Oryza sativa Japonica Group: one gene and its partners. The main gene of each other region encodes a partner of the protein of the gene in region 3 in a complex. Links are inferred from orthologs where the notes say so. Each region holds a gene or a part of one and is shown on either strand. Other genes may lie near its edges.

Region 1 (5,245 bases), on a different chromosome or scaffold from region 3:
TCTTATGGTTAGTACAAGGTAAAAACAACTGTAGGATGCATGTAGTACTACATTAAGGTTAACGAAATTTCCTTGGAAACGATCTTGACTGAATAATTCTTTGTTTAAGGAAAAGAAATAGGGTACAATACTTGCACTGTTGCCTATTAAGCAGCACGGAGTATATGCACTTCACCTGAAGGTTAACAAAATTTCCTTGCAAGTGGTTTGTACTGAATCGCCATTTATGTTAAGGAAGAAAAATATCTATACAATACTTGTCTATAGAAACACTGAGCTCATGAAGATTAACAAAGGAAATGCGATCTTTACTGAATCACCCTTCTTTAAGGAAAAGATATATACATAGTGCTATCAAGTAACACTGAGCTACATGTATTACAACTGAAGGTTAACAAAATTTCCTTGGAAGGGATTTTGACTGAATCGCCTTTGGTGAAGGAAAAGATTTACACATTACTAGTGCTCTTGAGCAGCAGTGGGTTGCATGTGCTACATTGAACATCAACAAAAAAAAAAATCTCCTAAGCAATGTTTGACTGAATCATCTAGTGATGTAGAGAGAAAATATCAGATAAGAGTAGAAGATTCCCTTGGATACATACCATGTTCTTCGACACCTTAATCTCAGAGAGTAGATCAGACGAGCACTTCGACCTTCTTCTTCCCCTTGAGGAAGACCTCCCTGTCAACAAGCTCACGCATGTATCCATCAAACTCCACAGGAACTCCACCATTGAGCCTCTTCATCTCCAGAAACCACTTGCTATCTCTCGCCCAGAGTTCCTCAAACGCATCTAGGTAATGCACACTGCTGTACTTTGCCTTCAGCGCATCCAACAAGACCACGTTGATGCCCTCTCCCGCAACATACACCTGCCTTCCTCCTCCATTGAGTCTCTCCTCAATCCTTCTTCTGAGGTTCCCATCATTGCCACCAACATGAACAGAGTCAAAATCTACTTGCATCCTTGATATGATACCATCAACAATGTCCATCAAGCTTGGCGCCGTGCGTATTGCTCCCTGCGGTGGACGGAGGACATGCTCAGCTTCGCCCTCGCACACATTGTACCAATAATTCCCTGGCTCCACGTCCCCAAATTTCCTAACGATCAGGGGATCCCTCGACTTGGAGAACTTGGTGGGCGCAACCCTGCTGTCCTCGATGATGCGGACTCCAAGCTGACCCTGTGCTCCCCACTTGTCCCAATCCTCCCAGAACCGCTTGTGTTCAACGATCCCGACCACGGATTGCAGGTGCTCAATGTCAATATAGAAGGCGAGGCGCTTGCCCTCCTCGGGCATGCCCCCGGCGTAGGCGGCGGCGAGACAGACGCTGAGATCGAGGACGAGGGTGCGGTTGAGGTAGCGGGCCTCGGCGATGGAGCAGAGGAGACTACGAAGATAATGCGGCATGGGCTTGCACCGGTCGCCGCCGCCAAGGTAAGAGAGGTACTTGCCCGCGGCGAACTGGGAGCGCGAGAGCGCGGGTGGGGGCGGCGGGGCGGTGGCGTTGGTCCCGCCGCGGCGGGGCTTGCGGGCGAGGGGGCCGGAGTGGTATTCCCCGATGGAGGTAACGGAGTAGGCGCAGGTGACGGGGTCGCGGGCGACGGAGAAGCGGCGGTAGTCCTTGTAGTTGGCGGAGGCGGTGGATCGGGCGCGCCAGGCCATGTCGCAGGAGGACGACGGCGGGTCGCCGGGGACGGGGCGGCCGAAGCGGTTGAAGTGGACGTCGGGGAAGGCGTCGATGGCGCGGCGCATCATGAGGTGGAAGAGCTGCGGGTCGGCGCAGTCGAGCGTGGAGGTGGTGTCGCAGCTGGCCTGATCCTGCTGCTCCAGGTGGGACGTGGTGGGCGTCAAGGCGGCGGTGGGAGGGGAGAGGGAGATGGGGAGGTTGCGGAGGGTGAGGAAGAGGAAGGCGACGAGCAAGAGGGCGGCGGCGGCGTGGGCGGAGGAGGTGATGAGGGCGCCCCGCCCCAGCAACGGCCGGCTCGGGTCCATCCGGCGACGGCGACGGCCGACGGCGATGAGATCTGGTGGCTGATTGTGTAATAAAGCCCCGTCTGCAGGCGGCGGACGGTGGTGAACTTGTTTCTAGGAAGACGACGAACTGTTCCTCTTAATGGGCCTAACATGAGTGGGCCTAAGACGAAGGCCCATGATTTGGCCCAAGAATCGCATCTCGTCGTGGATAAGACGATAAAGCAACATTGTGTGGGGATAGCCATAGCCCTGCACCGCACCTCGACTCCCCAAACATGGCGCTCGCCCTCGTCTCGCCAATGGCGGCTCTCTCACTCCACTCCGGGAGGATCTCAGCGGCGGCTATCGGCGGCGGCCTCCGCTCTCGCAGGGCATCCCCGATGGGCGCCGCCGCCACCCCGTTCCTCCGGAGCTCCTTCGTCTCCTCCTCCTCCACGTCATCCGCCTCCGCCTCCCCCGCCGCGCTCTCTGCCGCGGTCTCGGCGTCGCTGACCTTCACCTCTGCCTCCTCATTTGCTGGTGAGAATGTGTACTTTACTCGTTCCTGATTCGCTTCGTTCTGTTGCTACCATTTGGGTTGGGGAACTAGATGGAGGAGAGAGTTGCCTGCAAAGAGAAAGGGAGGAATGAACTTTTGTGCTGCTGGTTTCGGCTTTAAGTACTGTACAATGGAGTGTTTATACTGTCAGATAGGTAGCGTGTACAGTTAATCAGTGCTTAATGTCAGAAGATAACTAAACTAAACTAGCGATTTTAATGCAATTGATATATTTGAAAGTTCTGATGGTATTCTGGCAATTTCCTGAGAAATCTTAAATTCAAACTCTGCCGTACTTGTTAGCTGCTGTACGCAGCTTGTTATAATCTGCAATGTCTGATCCTAAAGCCCACGCATTCTTATAGTTAACCATGTGCTAGAGAATTTTGCTTAAGATGTGGATTCCGATTAAGATTAAAAAAAATCACTTGTTTACACATCCAGTTTTTTAGTGTAAGAACGTGTATATATATTCATAATTCAGTGATTAGTTCTAGATGGTTCCATGTTAGGAAACCTACACGGCTGAAAGTTTCTTTTCTTCCTCCATGTACTGTGATACTGATATTGTGATTTCCAGTAGTGCCAGATGGACTGTAGATTGTAGTACATTCTTGCGACAGAATCATGAAAACATCACAAAAACTCAGGAAACTCCACTTTTTGGAGCGAGCGCATGAGCTTAATTTAGTAAACTCATTATGAAATATATCATCTAACATAATTATACTACGAACTAACGAAATCACTGAATCAAGAACGTTTAACTGGACAACTCAACTTTTTAAACAGTTCAGTTACAATTAATAGCCTTGCCACCTAAAGCAAAACCAAAATGCTCCTAAAACAAGCCAATAACGTTAGATTAAAGGAACTATTGCAATGATATTATCCTTTTGGAAAATGAACTGTACTTTACATACTAGAGTTTTTTTCCAAATGATCTTAGAGAACAAAAACACAAACTAAGGGCAATCAAATAGCCGGTTTCTGTGCTGTACTGTTGTATTTAGCAAATCCATGTTCTTATGTATCAAACCATATTTGTTCCAACCTACAAATGATTTCAGTATCCTAATATGTTACATATTTCAGGTTCATCTTTGGGAATTGAATTCAGCTACAACAGAGTTACAACAGGAAGATCCCGGATTCTGCAGATTAGGGCTGGAAAGGCTGCTCTGTGCATGACCAAGAGAAATAGATCTAGGAAGTCGCTTGCCCGTACACATGGTTTTCGCAGACGGATGAGGACTACTGCCGGAAGAAAGGTCCTGAAGCGCAGACGCGCCAAAGGAAGAAGGGTTCTCTGCACAAAGACGAACTCCCCCACTGGGAAGAAACGAATGTTCTGATTGAATCGCATTCTAAGTCGCTCTTTGTCACAATTGTAAGTGTATTTTTTTATCCCACGTTCTCGGTTATACTCAACCATAACAATTGGTGCAAATCCTTCACCCGGTGTCCGGTTAATGTGTGAAGTACATTATCAACACAAATTCAAGTTAGCCTTTTTGCTTGTGCAGTATTTAGTAGTTGTTTGCTGTGGGAATATGTTCTCCTTGATCTGCATTGCCATGGTTTTCCTCTGATCTATCTTGACTGCATTCTGAGCATAGATTTTGCCAAAGGGCCTAAATGCTAACTTGAGCAGTTGCTCAAATAAACTCATCAATTTTTCTATTCTGTAGTAGAACGTCCCTTTTATTTTCTGATACAGTCCAGTGAATTTTAATATTCAGATCATCTCATCATAGTCACTCCATGCTCCACTGTGTAACACAATTTATCCACCTCCTCTGTGCCAATCTCTTTGGTACACACTTATTTGTAAAACAACCTGATTGCCCATCCAATCCTCTGTCACCTTATAATTTTGCTACTATCAGGCGAAAAAATGGATAATATCCAGAACTCAACCTGGAATAAATGAAAGGCAACAAGTAGCAAAGAGAACATTTACATTCTAACAAACTGAATCCCTCCTCTTCTTCACTCGCATCGGCAAGCCGCCTTCCATCCTCAAGGTCACCGAGAACACAAGCCCTGGCCGTCCCTCGCCGCCGACGAACCTGAAGCTGAACCTCTCGAACACGCACGCCGCGATGGACTTCATCTGTATGTATGCCATCTCCTTGCCGAGGCACATCCTCGGCCCGCCGTGGAACACCGGGTACTTGAACGGGCTCTCCGGCCGGAACACGCCGTCCTCGTCGAGCCACCGCTCCGGCCTGAACTCCTCGCAGTCCGCGCCCCATAACTCCTCCAAGCGCGCCATGGCGTACGCGCTGTAGGTGACCTGCCATCCTTTGCCGACGAACGTGCCGTCCGGCAAGACGTCGTCGTTCTGGCAGCAGTGCGAGTCCATGGCCACGGGCGGGTACAGCCGCATCGCCTCCGTGATGGCCGCGTGCAGGTAGTGCATCTCGCGCAGCTCGTCAAAGCTGAACGCCGCCGCGTCCGTGCTCCCGCTCGACGCGCGCACCGCGCGGATCTCGCGCGCGATCCTGTCCTCCACGTCCGGCTGGCCGGACACCAGCCAGAAGAACCAGGTCAGCGCCGACGACGTCGTGTCGCGCCCGGCGAGGACGAAGTTGGTGCCACGTCGCGGAGGCTCTCGTCGCTGTGCTTGCCGGTCGCGGCGAAGCGCGACAGGAAGTCGTCCTTGCGCGCCAGCCCCGCCGCGCCCCTCTCCCTCCGCTCGCGGACGATCCTGTCGGC
Region 2 (4,559 bases), on a different chromosome or scaffold from region 3:
CCTTGACCATTATCCAAACGCCCCTTATCTCTTTTCCTTACCCATTATCCAAACGCTCCTTATAGTTAGTATGTATGGCTGTACAAGTATAGAGTACATGTTTAAGGCACTTAGAGGCTATTTGGTTGATGACCATAAGTTGCCACACTTGAGGTTAGATAAGTTTAACCATGTTAGGTGAGTGTTTATTTGGCTTCCACAAGTGTGGCAAGATTTCTTTTTTATAATCTAGATTCCACATCTAAGTGACTCTAAAAAGTGTGGCATGGTTTCATTTTGGGCCTATTTAGTTGGTGAAATGAAAATTTTTGGATGTCACATCGGACGTTTGACCGGATGTCAGAAGGGGTTTTCGGACTCCTTATAGTTAGTATGTATGGTTGTACAAGTATAGAGTACATGTTTAAGGCACTTAGGGGCTGTTTGGATGATGACCATAAGTTGCCACACTTGAGGTTAGACAAGTTTAATCATGTTAGGTGAGTGTTTATTTGGGTTCCACAAATGTGGCAAGATTCCTCTTTTATAATCTAGATTTCACATGTAAGTGACTCTAAAAAGTGTGGCATGCTTTTATTTTGGGCCTGTTTAGTTGGTGAAATGAAAATTTTTGGGTGTCACATCGGACGTTTGACCAGATGTTAGAAGGGGTTTTCGGACACGAATAAAAAAAAACTAATTTCATAACTCGCCTAGAAACCACGAGACGAATCTTTTGAGCCTAATTAAGCCATCATTAGCACATGTGGGTTACTGGAAACCACGAGACGAATCTTTTGAGCCTAATCAAGCCGTCATTAGCACATGTGGGTTACCGTAGCACTTATGGCTAATCATAGACTAATTAGACTCAAAAGATTCGTCTCGCGATTTACATGTAAACTGTGTAATTAATTTTTTTTATCTATATTTAATGCTTCGTATATGTGTCCAAAGATTCGATGTGATGTTTTTGCGAAAAGTTTTTGGGAACTAAACATAGCCTTTATTGGCTAGAGCGTGGCTTGGATTTTGATGGCCTCAACTTTAGCGAGAAAACATGGTAAACCTTAGCAATGTTAGTACGTGAACTAACAGCCCCTTACTGCTTATTCTGAAGACCGGACAAACTGATGTATGCAACGATTCTATTCGAGAGCCCAGACCAACACTAGCATGCATCGATTCAACGAGTTGGAAATGTCCAATTACAGAGTGTGCAAATTGCAATATCTCCATTTTATATCGATGTCAAAGAGTACAGGCAGAGAACAAACAGTTCGATACCACAAATATGATCACACGTATCCACTGAGAACACCGATCGAACACCTAGAGAGCAATGCGAATGCACGTGTAACGAGAGGCGCAAGCAAGAGGAGCTAATCCATTTTACGCAATTCCCAAAATCAACCAAGAGAAACCGCACCGGCGAGGCCGGCGGCGGAGGCGAGAGGCGAAGCGGGGGCTCAGCTGGCGCCGGCGGATCCCTCCTCCTCCGGGTCGAACTCCGGGTCGCCGTCGGGGTGCATCTCCCTCCACTGGTCCTCGGGCCAGTACTCCTTGATGTGGCCCCACTTCTTGCGGAACTTCTCGATCTGGCTGTCCATGACGACCATCGCCGACGTGTCGCCGACGTAGTAGGGGTGGTTCCCCGACCACACGTCCACCGTGTACTCCGGCTTGGTTCCCCCCGTCACCAGCACCAGCTCCCCGTTGCAGTACACCTTCGCGTCCTCGTAGATCTCCGGGTGCAGCCCCTTCTTCCGCATCGAGCACCGCATCCTCTGCACGGCAAATCGTCACACCACCGCCCAGTTCCAATCACCTCCTCCGAATCTCCGATTCGGCGGCGCTACGCCTACGCGGTTGTGGGGGCATCGAAGGAATCGTACCTGGGAGGGGACGAGGGAGCGGAGGGTGGTCCTCGTGGCCGCCGCGGCGGCTTGGGTCGGGAGGAAGGAGGTGGAGAGGGAGAGCGCCATGGCTGCTGCTTCCTCGCGCGCTCGCGTCGCACTTTGCTCCGGATTCCCCTGTTTCGTGTCCCTTATCGGTTTCTGGTGTGTGTTATCCTCTCAAGCGTTGATGATTCTCAATTTTTGAGGCTTTGGTGCCGTGCGGGTGGCCGCTCGCCTGCCTCGCTTTGGCTGGGCTTTCTTAATTGTTGTTTGGTTTGGGCTGATACACGTTGGTTACTTACTGGCCCAGAAAAAAAAATGTATGCAATTATTTCGTTTACGTGGTAAAAATATGCAGAATTCCTAATTCTCGCATACGCGCCGCGGGCGCGCACTTCTGGCCCACGCGTATGCACGGCACCGCACGGGCGCGGTTAGATTCTTTCCATAGCGCATGTAGTAACTAGTCCATTAGTTTTAGCGTGTAAAAAAATACATTAGTTTTAGATAATCAAGATAAGATTTGTTTTTTCCGAAAATTTTTTAAAGTAACAGATTGAAAAGAAATTTATACATCAAGTCAAATTCTGAAAACTTTCAACCCATATTTGAAAACTTTCAACTCGAAATTTGAATTTTTTTTAAAGTCAAATTTTGAAAACTTTCAACTTTTCATCTCAAATTGAAAAAATTCAACTCAAATTTAAAACTTTCAACTCAGATTTGAAAACTTTCAAGTCAAATTTAAAAACTTTGAAGTCAAAATTTAAAACTTTCAACTCTACATTTGTAAAGGGGTGTGCGAAAGATTAAAAAAATAGAAAGAAATGGCGAAAAAAAAGAAAAACGCACCCGGATCCAGGCGCCAAAATCGTAAAAAAAAAGTGAGAAAGAAAAGCACGCGGGAACAGGGGAGGGGGCCAACTGACGCGGGCGCCAGCTAAATTGCTAGCACGTACGTGCGCATTAGCCTCCCCAAAGATATGGGTTAATTGGATCATGTTATTGCAAGTTTACCAATTTGCCATTACTATTCACGATATCAGGTTCATGCCACTGAAATTTTGCAAAATTTGAGCTATGCCACTCCGTTACAACAACTGTCAATACCTCTGTTAGCTCAACACCGCACAACGCAGATCAGTTTCTTCTTCAACTCAGGCGAAAATCTGGCGGTTCTCAGGCTCGTCGACGACTGCACGGAGAGAGCTTCTTCGATGAGGGCGTTGCCAATCCGGTGACGATTGCAAGCTTAATACCCAATGAAGGGAGGTGGAGCTGGAGGGGAGTGACGGTCATGAACCCTGCATCGCTGGTGGAAGGTGGAGGGAAGCGCCGAGCCCAACCCATGCGTTGGAGGGGAGTGGCGGTCACAGACCCCACGCCGCCGGTGAAAGATGGAGGGGAGCGCTAAGCCTAATCCCCGCACTGGAGGGGAGCGGCGTCTAGAACCGTCATCTTCCTTGCCGGTGGAGCCCCACGTGCCGCGGCCAATGAATCTACAGTTATATTGGGATGGAGACCCGCCACCTCTTCTTCTCCCCCATTGTCTTCCTTGCTGATAATGCCCCCATAAGCTGTGGCCGACGACACTATGGTGGAGCCATGGAGGCAAGGTTGGGGACGGAGACCCGCACCACCTCTTCTTCCCTACCGTCGCATGCGATGACTCCACGCTGTGCGCTGAGCCCGCCGCCATCGTCGAAGGAGAGGGTGACAAAAATTGTGATGGAGTGGCATAGCTCAAATTTTGTAAAATTCCAATGGCATATACCCGATATCCAGGGGCGGATCCAGGAACAAAATATTGGAGGGGCTCAATTACACTGTTTCTTCAATTTCCAACCATTTAGGAACCTTTAGTTTATCATTCATGGTGAAAAAATTGAAGGGGGTGCTCCGGGGGGTATCCATGGGTCTTGTGGGTGTAGGGGGGACTCGAGTCCTCCCTGCACCCACCTTGGATCCGCCCTTGCTGATATTGCAAATAGTAGTGATATTTTTTTTAAATTAGCAAATTTACAATGGCATGAAATTAAACTGTAAAAATATTTGTGTTAGCATTTTTCGAGGTGAAAGCGGTCTCTTCGATAACTTAGATGGGCCTACTGTCAGTGGCATGAGAGGACCACCGTGTACGCCTAAACATGCCATATTCAAGATAGAGAGAAGACAAGGGAGGGGAAGAAGAGGCTGACATGTGGGGCTCATTTGGGTCCCACACTAAGTCAGCTGTCATGTTGGATAAACCCGAAGTTAAACCGAGGGACCTAGTTCACACTGGTTTTATAAGTTGGGGAATGTGTTGTATCTGGTTTCGTGGTTCATGGACGATTTTGTAACTTGATGACAAGGAGGGACCTTCGGTGTACTTTTTTCCAAACGATGGCAAGCCGAGAGCGTGGTAAAAGCCCAGAACCGATCGCACCTGACAGGCCTAATTCCTGACGGCTTCACCCACGCTTCCCCCGGAAGGCCGGAAATGCTCCGCCGGGACAGCAGAGACGGACATCGCCGGTGCGGTGGCTCCGGCGCCGGCGCCGGCGGGAGCGCTCCCCACCGTGAAAACCCTAGCGCTCCTGCGTCCAGTCCCCAGCGGTCCGCGAGAAGCCATCGACGCGACGCGGAGCCTGATGGTGATGGACCCGTCGTCGCTTCCTCGGTCGCCCCGATTTCCTCCCC
Region 3 (5,312 bases):
TTGCATGACCCAGGTAAGAAAGAAAAATGATGGAATCATTATGGTTAGGCATAAGCAGAGGGTTGGTTCACTAAACCCTCAGGTGATCTACAAGTAAACCTGAGCAAAATGGTCTGTTGTTTACGACTGATCTGGGCTTAGAGTTTCAAGATCAGCATCTAACCCGGGCTATGCTGCTCCAGTGCTCCATGTCCAAGTTGAGCTAGGCTACTTTCCACATTGTAAAATGCAGCAAGTCCTCTGAAAAGACTTGTTAGTTGTTACTTGTTAGAGCTCACCCAGCGAAAAAGTTAGTCATAACAAGGAACAATTCAACAATTTAAGGAGACAAGATTTTGTAATCATACCCCTACTCAAGATGTTACTCTCTCCATTTTATATTATAAGTCGTTTTGACTTTTTTCGGAGTCAAACTTCTGTACGTTTGACTAAGTATATAGAAAAAAAATGGTAACATTTATAATACCAAACTAGTTTTATTAAATGTAACTTTGAATATATTTTTGATAACATGTTTGTTTTGTGTTAAAAATGTTATTATTTTTTCTATCATTTTGGTCAAAATTAAATAAGTTTGACTAGGAAAAAAAAGTCAAAATGATTTATAATATGAAACGGAGGGAGTAGAAAATTAGTGGTAACCAGCAGGTCAACACTGGTTTTTTGAAGCAAGATTGGGAAGCACTTTCTGTATAAAATTGGAAGAAAAATATGCAGTGGTTGACACGACATTGTATTTGAAAATATATGTGCAGTTTGAAGATCTAATATACTGCATCAGTGAAAAAAAAACATTATAAACTTACAACAAAAGTAAGCCAAAAAGCTTCTGCATCAGGGAAGCAATTACCAGACCAACAAACGAAAAACACGCGATCTACACCTCCTTCCCTAGGAATTGCTATCAGCCTCAGTCTCTGCAGCCTCATCTGAAAGTCATACAAAAAGAAGTTCCTGAGAAATGCTCAAAATAAGAGAAAGTTATAATATGCAGCACCAAAATGTAACAGAGAACTGAATGTCAATTAATAATAACTTAGTCCTGTAGCTATGCATAGTATTTACGAAAAGGAAGTGCTTGAGTGATGGAGAAAACATGTGTTTAACTAGGTTTTACCTCTAAAGCAACTTAAACCAGCATATTCACAGCTAACTACTTTATTAAGATGGTTCTAAGGTCTAACAGAACATCTTTGAAGTGAATGATGACAGTGCCAATGGCTGACAATGTTTCAAGTGATAGGTGATAGGGGTAGCTGTGTGGCACAGCAGATTGTGACACTATTATAAGGAGTGTACCAGTATCCCCAGAGTTCTGGTTCAGTGGTGTTCATGGATTCCATGCAGTCTCATTTCTTCTTATTTTTTAGTTTAGTGCTTAGGACTTAATCCACCTTCAGCCGAAAATTTAACCACCATTAGGTGAAGTCATTTTCTATTCGCAAATTGTTGAGTTGCTCATGAGCTCTGAATAAAAACCCTAAGGAGGTGCAAAATAACGAGTAAAATACAGACTCAGTGGGTCTACTGAGAGCTAGCATAGGGGTAGGTGGATCTCTAAGCATGCTTCTAAAATAGACCATTGAATTATGTCATGGACTTATTGGATCTTTCAGGAGGAAAAAAAACCATACGATGTACATTAGCATGGTAAGCATTTTTCCTTTTGCATGCTGGTAAGGATAAGAGAACTATTTCGAAAAAAAAATTAGCTCCATAAGTCTACAAGGCCACAAAGAATTTCTCCATAATAATTAAGATGGTATTCATAAGACAAAACTGGCTACATTTTCTGTTTCTTTGCCACGTTATCTTGTTTTTACCCTTAAAACGCATGTCAGGATCTTTATCAGCATACGTATAGCATCGATCATGATATTTACAACAGAGCATAGCTAAGAGTTAAAAGATAAAAAAAAAAACTACTGTACATGCCATTAAAGCAGAGCATTTTCTCTCCTAACTATCAACTAAAACATGTAAAATAAAGGATCACTGGATAGCATTAGTTACTCAAAGTCATTTCGCACATGCCCACCATAGAAACAATAAAAAGACACCTGGAAATTGTTCATGCATAGCTATGTACCTTGAGCAGCCTCCTCTGCGCTCCCTTCTCCTTCTTGCAACTCCTCTGCTTCCTCCTCACCATCATCCTCGCCATTGGTATCATCCTCATATTCATCAAAAACGGTGGCACCATACCTGGAGTTGAGATAGTTAATGGCGGCCGGGGTGAAGAAGAGCTTGCGGGCATCGAGGATGTCGTATAGGTTGAGAGTCCTGGGGGTTAGCATCTTGAGGGAGCCAATGTTCCTTCCGCTGAGCCGCACATTGTCTGCAAAATCCGTGGCGAAGAACATGGCCTTCTCCTTGGGGTCGAGCCCCCACCGCTGAAGCGCGGCCACGAAGTCCCTGGTCTTGGGACCCGCGGCGAACTCCTCGTCGAACTCCTCCACGACGAATGCATCGTCGGCCACGGCGGCACTGGCGAGCGCGGTGGAGATGGCGAGGCGCTTCTCCTTGCGGTTGATCTTGATGGACCAGTCGCGGGGCTTGGGCCCGAATATGACGCCGCCGCCGGGGCGGAGCGGCGTGCGCATCGACCCGCGCCGCGCCTTCCCCGTCTTCTTCTGCTGGTAGGGCTTCCTGCCGCCTCCCCTGACCTCGCCGCGGGTGAGCGTGGAGGCCGTGCCGCGGCGCTTGTTCTGGCGGTCGGTGATGATGGCGCGGTGCACGACGGCGCGCGCGGTGGAGGGCGGCGCCGACTTGAGGTCGAGGGCGACCTCCCCGACCTTCTCCCCGGTGAAGGAGAGAACCGGGAGGGTGGCCGCCTCGGCGCGAAGGGCGCGGAGGACGGAGATAGCCGCCTTCTGCTTGCCGGCGGCGACGGCGACGCGCGGGGAGGAGGAGGCGGCGGCGGCGGCGGATGGGAGGAAGGAGACCGAGGTGGGGGAGAGGAAGGGCGAGGAGGAAGAGGAGAGCGAGAGGAGGAGAGTCGAGGCCACGGAGGAGGCGGCCATTGCGGCGGCTTCGCTCGCTGCGGTGCGCTGCGTGGGCTGGACGACGGGGAGGCTTTGCCGCTGCAGCTGCGGAGCGGCCGCTTCTCTATCTCCTTATCCACCCCCACCCGACCGGACCGGCCACACTCTCGCGAGTGTCAGCTTAGTCGGTCGCGCCAGACCAGTAAGATACACACACTACTATGTGTTTGGATTTTAGAAGAAGCATCTCTTCATTAAAAAAACTTAGATATTGTTAAAGAAAAACCCTCGAGGCAGTATTAGTCTATTAGATGGTGTTTTTTTTCTAATAAAGATGAAATAAAATAGGAAAGCAAAATGAAAACGGCCCATTAGCTTATGTTTAATTAAGTTTTGATTATTTTAAACTTGAAATTGATTTATTTGATATTTTAAAATATTTTTATGTAAAAAATTCATATGAAACATACCATTTAGCAGTTTAAAAAATGTGTTAGGAAGAATTTGCATCTTAGTAAAGAAGGAGGCTTAGTTTCACCAAAATGAGTTTGAAATAATCAAATTAAATTTCATTTCCTTTTTGTCGGGTCAGATTGCTCATTAGCACTTGTGTATCAGAACAGTTGCCTGAGAACCACATTGACAGATGGGGCGCACCATAGACACAGTTATGCTAAAAATGGACAGGAACTCCAAATTTTCTACTTCTACTTTTGTTCTGAACACTTGCGAAGTTTTCACGATTGCGATCCTCTTCTCGGTTAGCTCTAACAAACAAGCTAAAGAAACTCAAGTAATCTGAACAGATGACTAGCGCTTGCGATTCTCATTGCCAACTTATTTTCTAGTGTTTCAATCTTCCATAACAGTATACTTTACACGAGCAACAGAGATAGCCTACCCAATATATACCATCATTATTGGTTCCTACAAGAATCACAGTGGTAATTGTACTACATCTTTAATCTCCTTTTTTTGGAGAGCCTACAGTCGATCAGAGTCTCACAGATAACTTGATATCTCCTAACAGGGGCGCTTGGCAACTCTGTCCATCGCTTTATGGAAACAATTGTGGTATAAGTAGGGAACTAACTCTTGTACAACCTAGATCATCTTAATGGCTTCGATGGTAACTTCTTAACAAGGCTGGTGTTGCCGGTTACCAATAATCGAGCGCCCTTCACCAGTTCCTCCTTAATCATAAAAAGGAGAGCAGAAGCAAAAACACTTTGTACGATTTTTGTGCTCATTCCTTTATAAAGCCCTGACAAACCTTCATAACGTATCATCTTTGTGATCGCATCAAATGTGCCTGCAAGCAATAAAATTTGCATAGCGTATTTGGTAACAAAGTCAGAGAACAGCAAATATTATTACCAGAAGAGAAGTAAAGACTATCAGAAACAGGATATGGAGCAACATCACTCATTAAATAATAATTCACTCTAAATAATAAAATGAAGTTTAAAGAATAAAGGCCAGCGATGTACCTTTGTAGCGGTGCCTCTTGTCATCATCAATTATTTGCTTCACCTGAAGTCTTGCCTGTAGAAAAAAAAAACATGGTTTAACTTGACATGTCTGCTCAATTGTGCACAGAAACGGCTGCTGCTGTAACTGGTGTTCAAATAATCACCTTCACAACTAGAAGAGGATATGTAACAACAGTCGCACCCAGTTTGGCAACAGCACCAAGAAGGAAAATCTGAACAAGGATTTTACAGCGTGAGATGAAGACGGTCTATAACATAGCTAACTAACAAAGAAATAGTAGTATTAGGAGCATATAAGAAATACTAGTGTTTTCAGCAAATCATCATGGTAAATGAAGTTAAGACATGCAACATATAATTACTGGACATGAAACATCGTTACTAGAAGAACAAACTTTCAAGTCAGCGTTACGGGTAGATTCAGGCCCCAATGCAGCAAGTTAGCATGATGCAAATTGGTTATATCCTAATAAATCTGTACAATGATCCCAGTCACCAGAAAAGCCAAAAGCCAAAAGCTTACTTCAAGAGCAGTCAGTCCATCAGCTCCCTTCAAATTAGAGGCACGTCTCTTTTTCAACTTCTTCAAAAGAGTCTCGTACAACATGAATTGGATTGCAGGGTTGCTAACCTGATGACAGATGAAACATGGAAACAATAACTTGTAAAAAAGAAATAACTTAGCAAAAGAAAATGCGACATAAGACTTACCATAATAAGAGCTGGAACTACACCTTTCCAGAAGCCCAAAAATCCAGCTTCTTTGTAAAGGTCCTGAATCTGCAGCCAAACGGAGTCAATCAACCATGCCCCAAACAAAGTCTGAATCATTAGC

The links.
Region 1: large ribosomal subunit protein uL4c (region 3) and large ribosomal subunit protein bL34c share a complex: the UniProt entries of both Arabidopsis thaliana proteins name them as parts of the 50S ribosomal subunit. The link is inferred for Oryza sativa Japonica Group from reciprocal best matches to the Arabidopsis thaliana genes RPL4 and AT1G29070.
Region 2: large ribosomal subunit protein uL4c (region 3) and uncharacterized protein share a complex: the UniProt entries of both Arabidopsis thaliana proteins name them as parts of the 50S ribosomal subunit. The link is inferred for Oryza sativa Japonica Group from reciprocal best matches to the Arabidopsis thaliana genes RPL4 and emb2184.

Annotation. Positions count from the first base shown.
Region 1 is NC_089035.1:34,739,495-34,744,739, reverse strand, and holds large ribosomal subunit protein bL34c, read left to right. Parts: upstream 1-2,237; 5' UTR 2,238-2,261; coding exon 2,262-2,505; intron 2,506-3,618; exon of another isoform or gene 3,619-3,619; coding exon 3,620-3,879; 3' UTR 3,880-4,052; downstream 4,053-5,245. Other genes in the region: uncharacterized protein, read right to left, coding at 640-2,004. UniProt on the Arabidopsis thaliana protein: This protein binds directly to 23S ribosomal RNA.
Region 2 is NC_089035.1:25,928,809-25,933,367, forward strand, and holds uncharacterized protein, read right to left. Parts: upstream 2,049-4,559; 5' UTR 1,965-2,048; coding exon 1,875-1,964; intron 1,767-1,874; coding exon 1,449-1,766; 3' UTR 1,188-1,448; downstream 1-1,187. UniProt on the Arabidopsis thaliana protein: Binds the 23S rRNA.
Region 3 is NC_089037.1:8,801,576-8,806,887, reverse strand, and holds large ribosomal subunit protein uL4c, read right to left. Parts: upstream 3,092-5,312; 5' UTR 3,024-3,091; coding exon 2,090-3,023; intron 930-2,089; coding exon 892-929; 3' UTR 675-891; downstream 1-674. Other genes in the region: peroxisomal nicotinamide adenine dinucleotide carrier, read right to left, coding at 4,094-4,296, 4,475-4,529, 4,621-4,689, 5,001-5,108, 5,189-5,257. UniProt on the Arabidopsis thaliana protein: This protein binds directly and specifically to 23S rRNA. May play a role in plastid transcriptional regulation.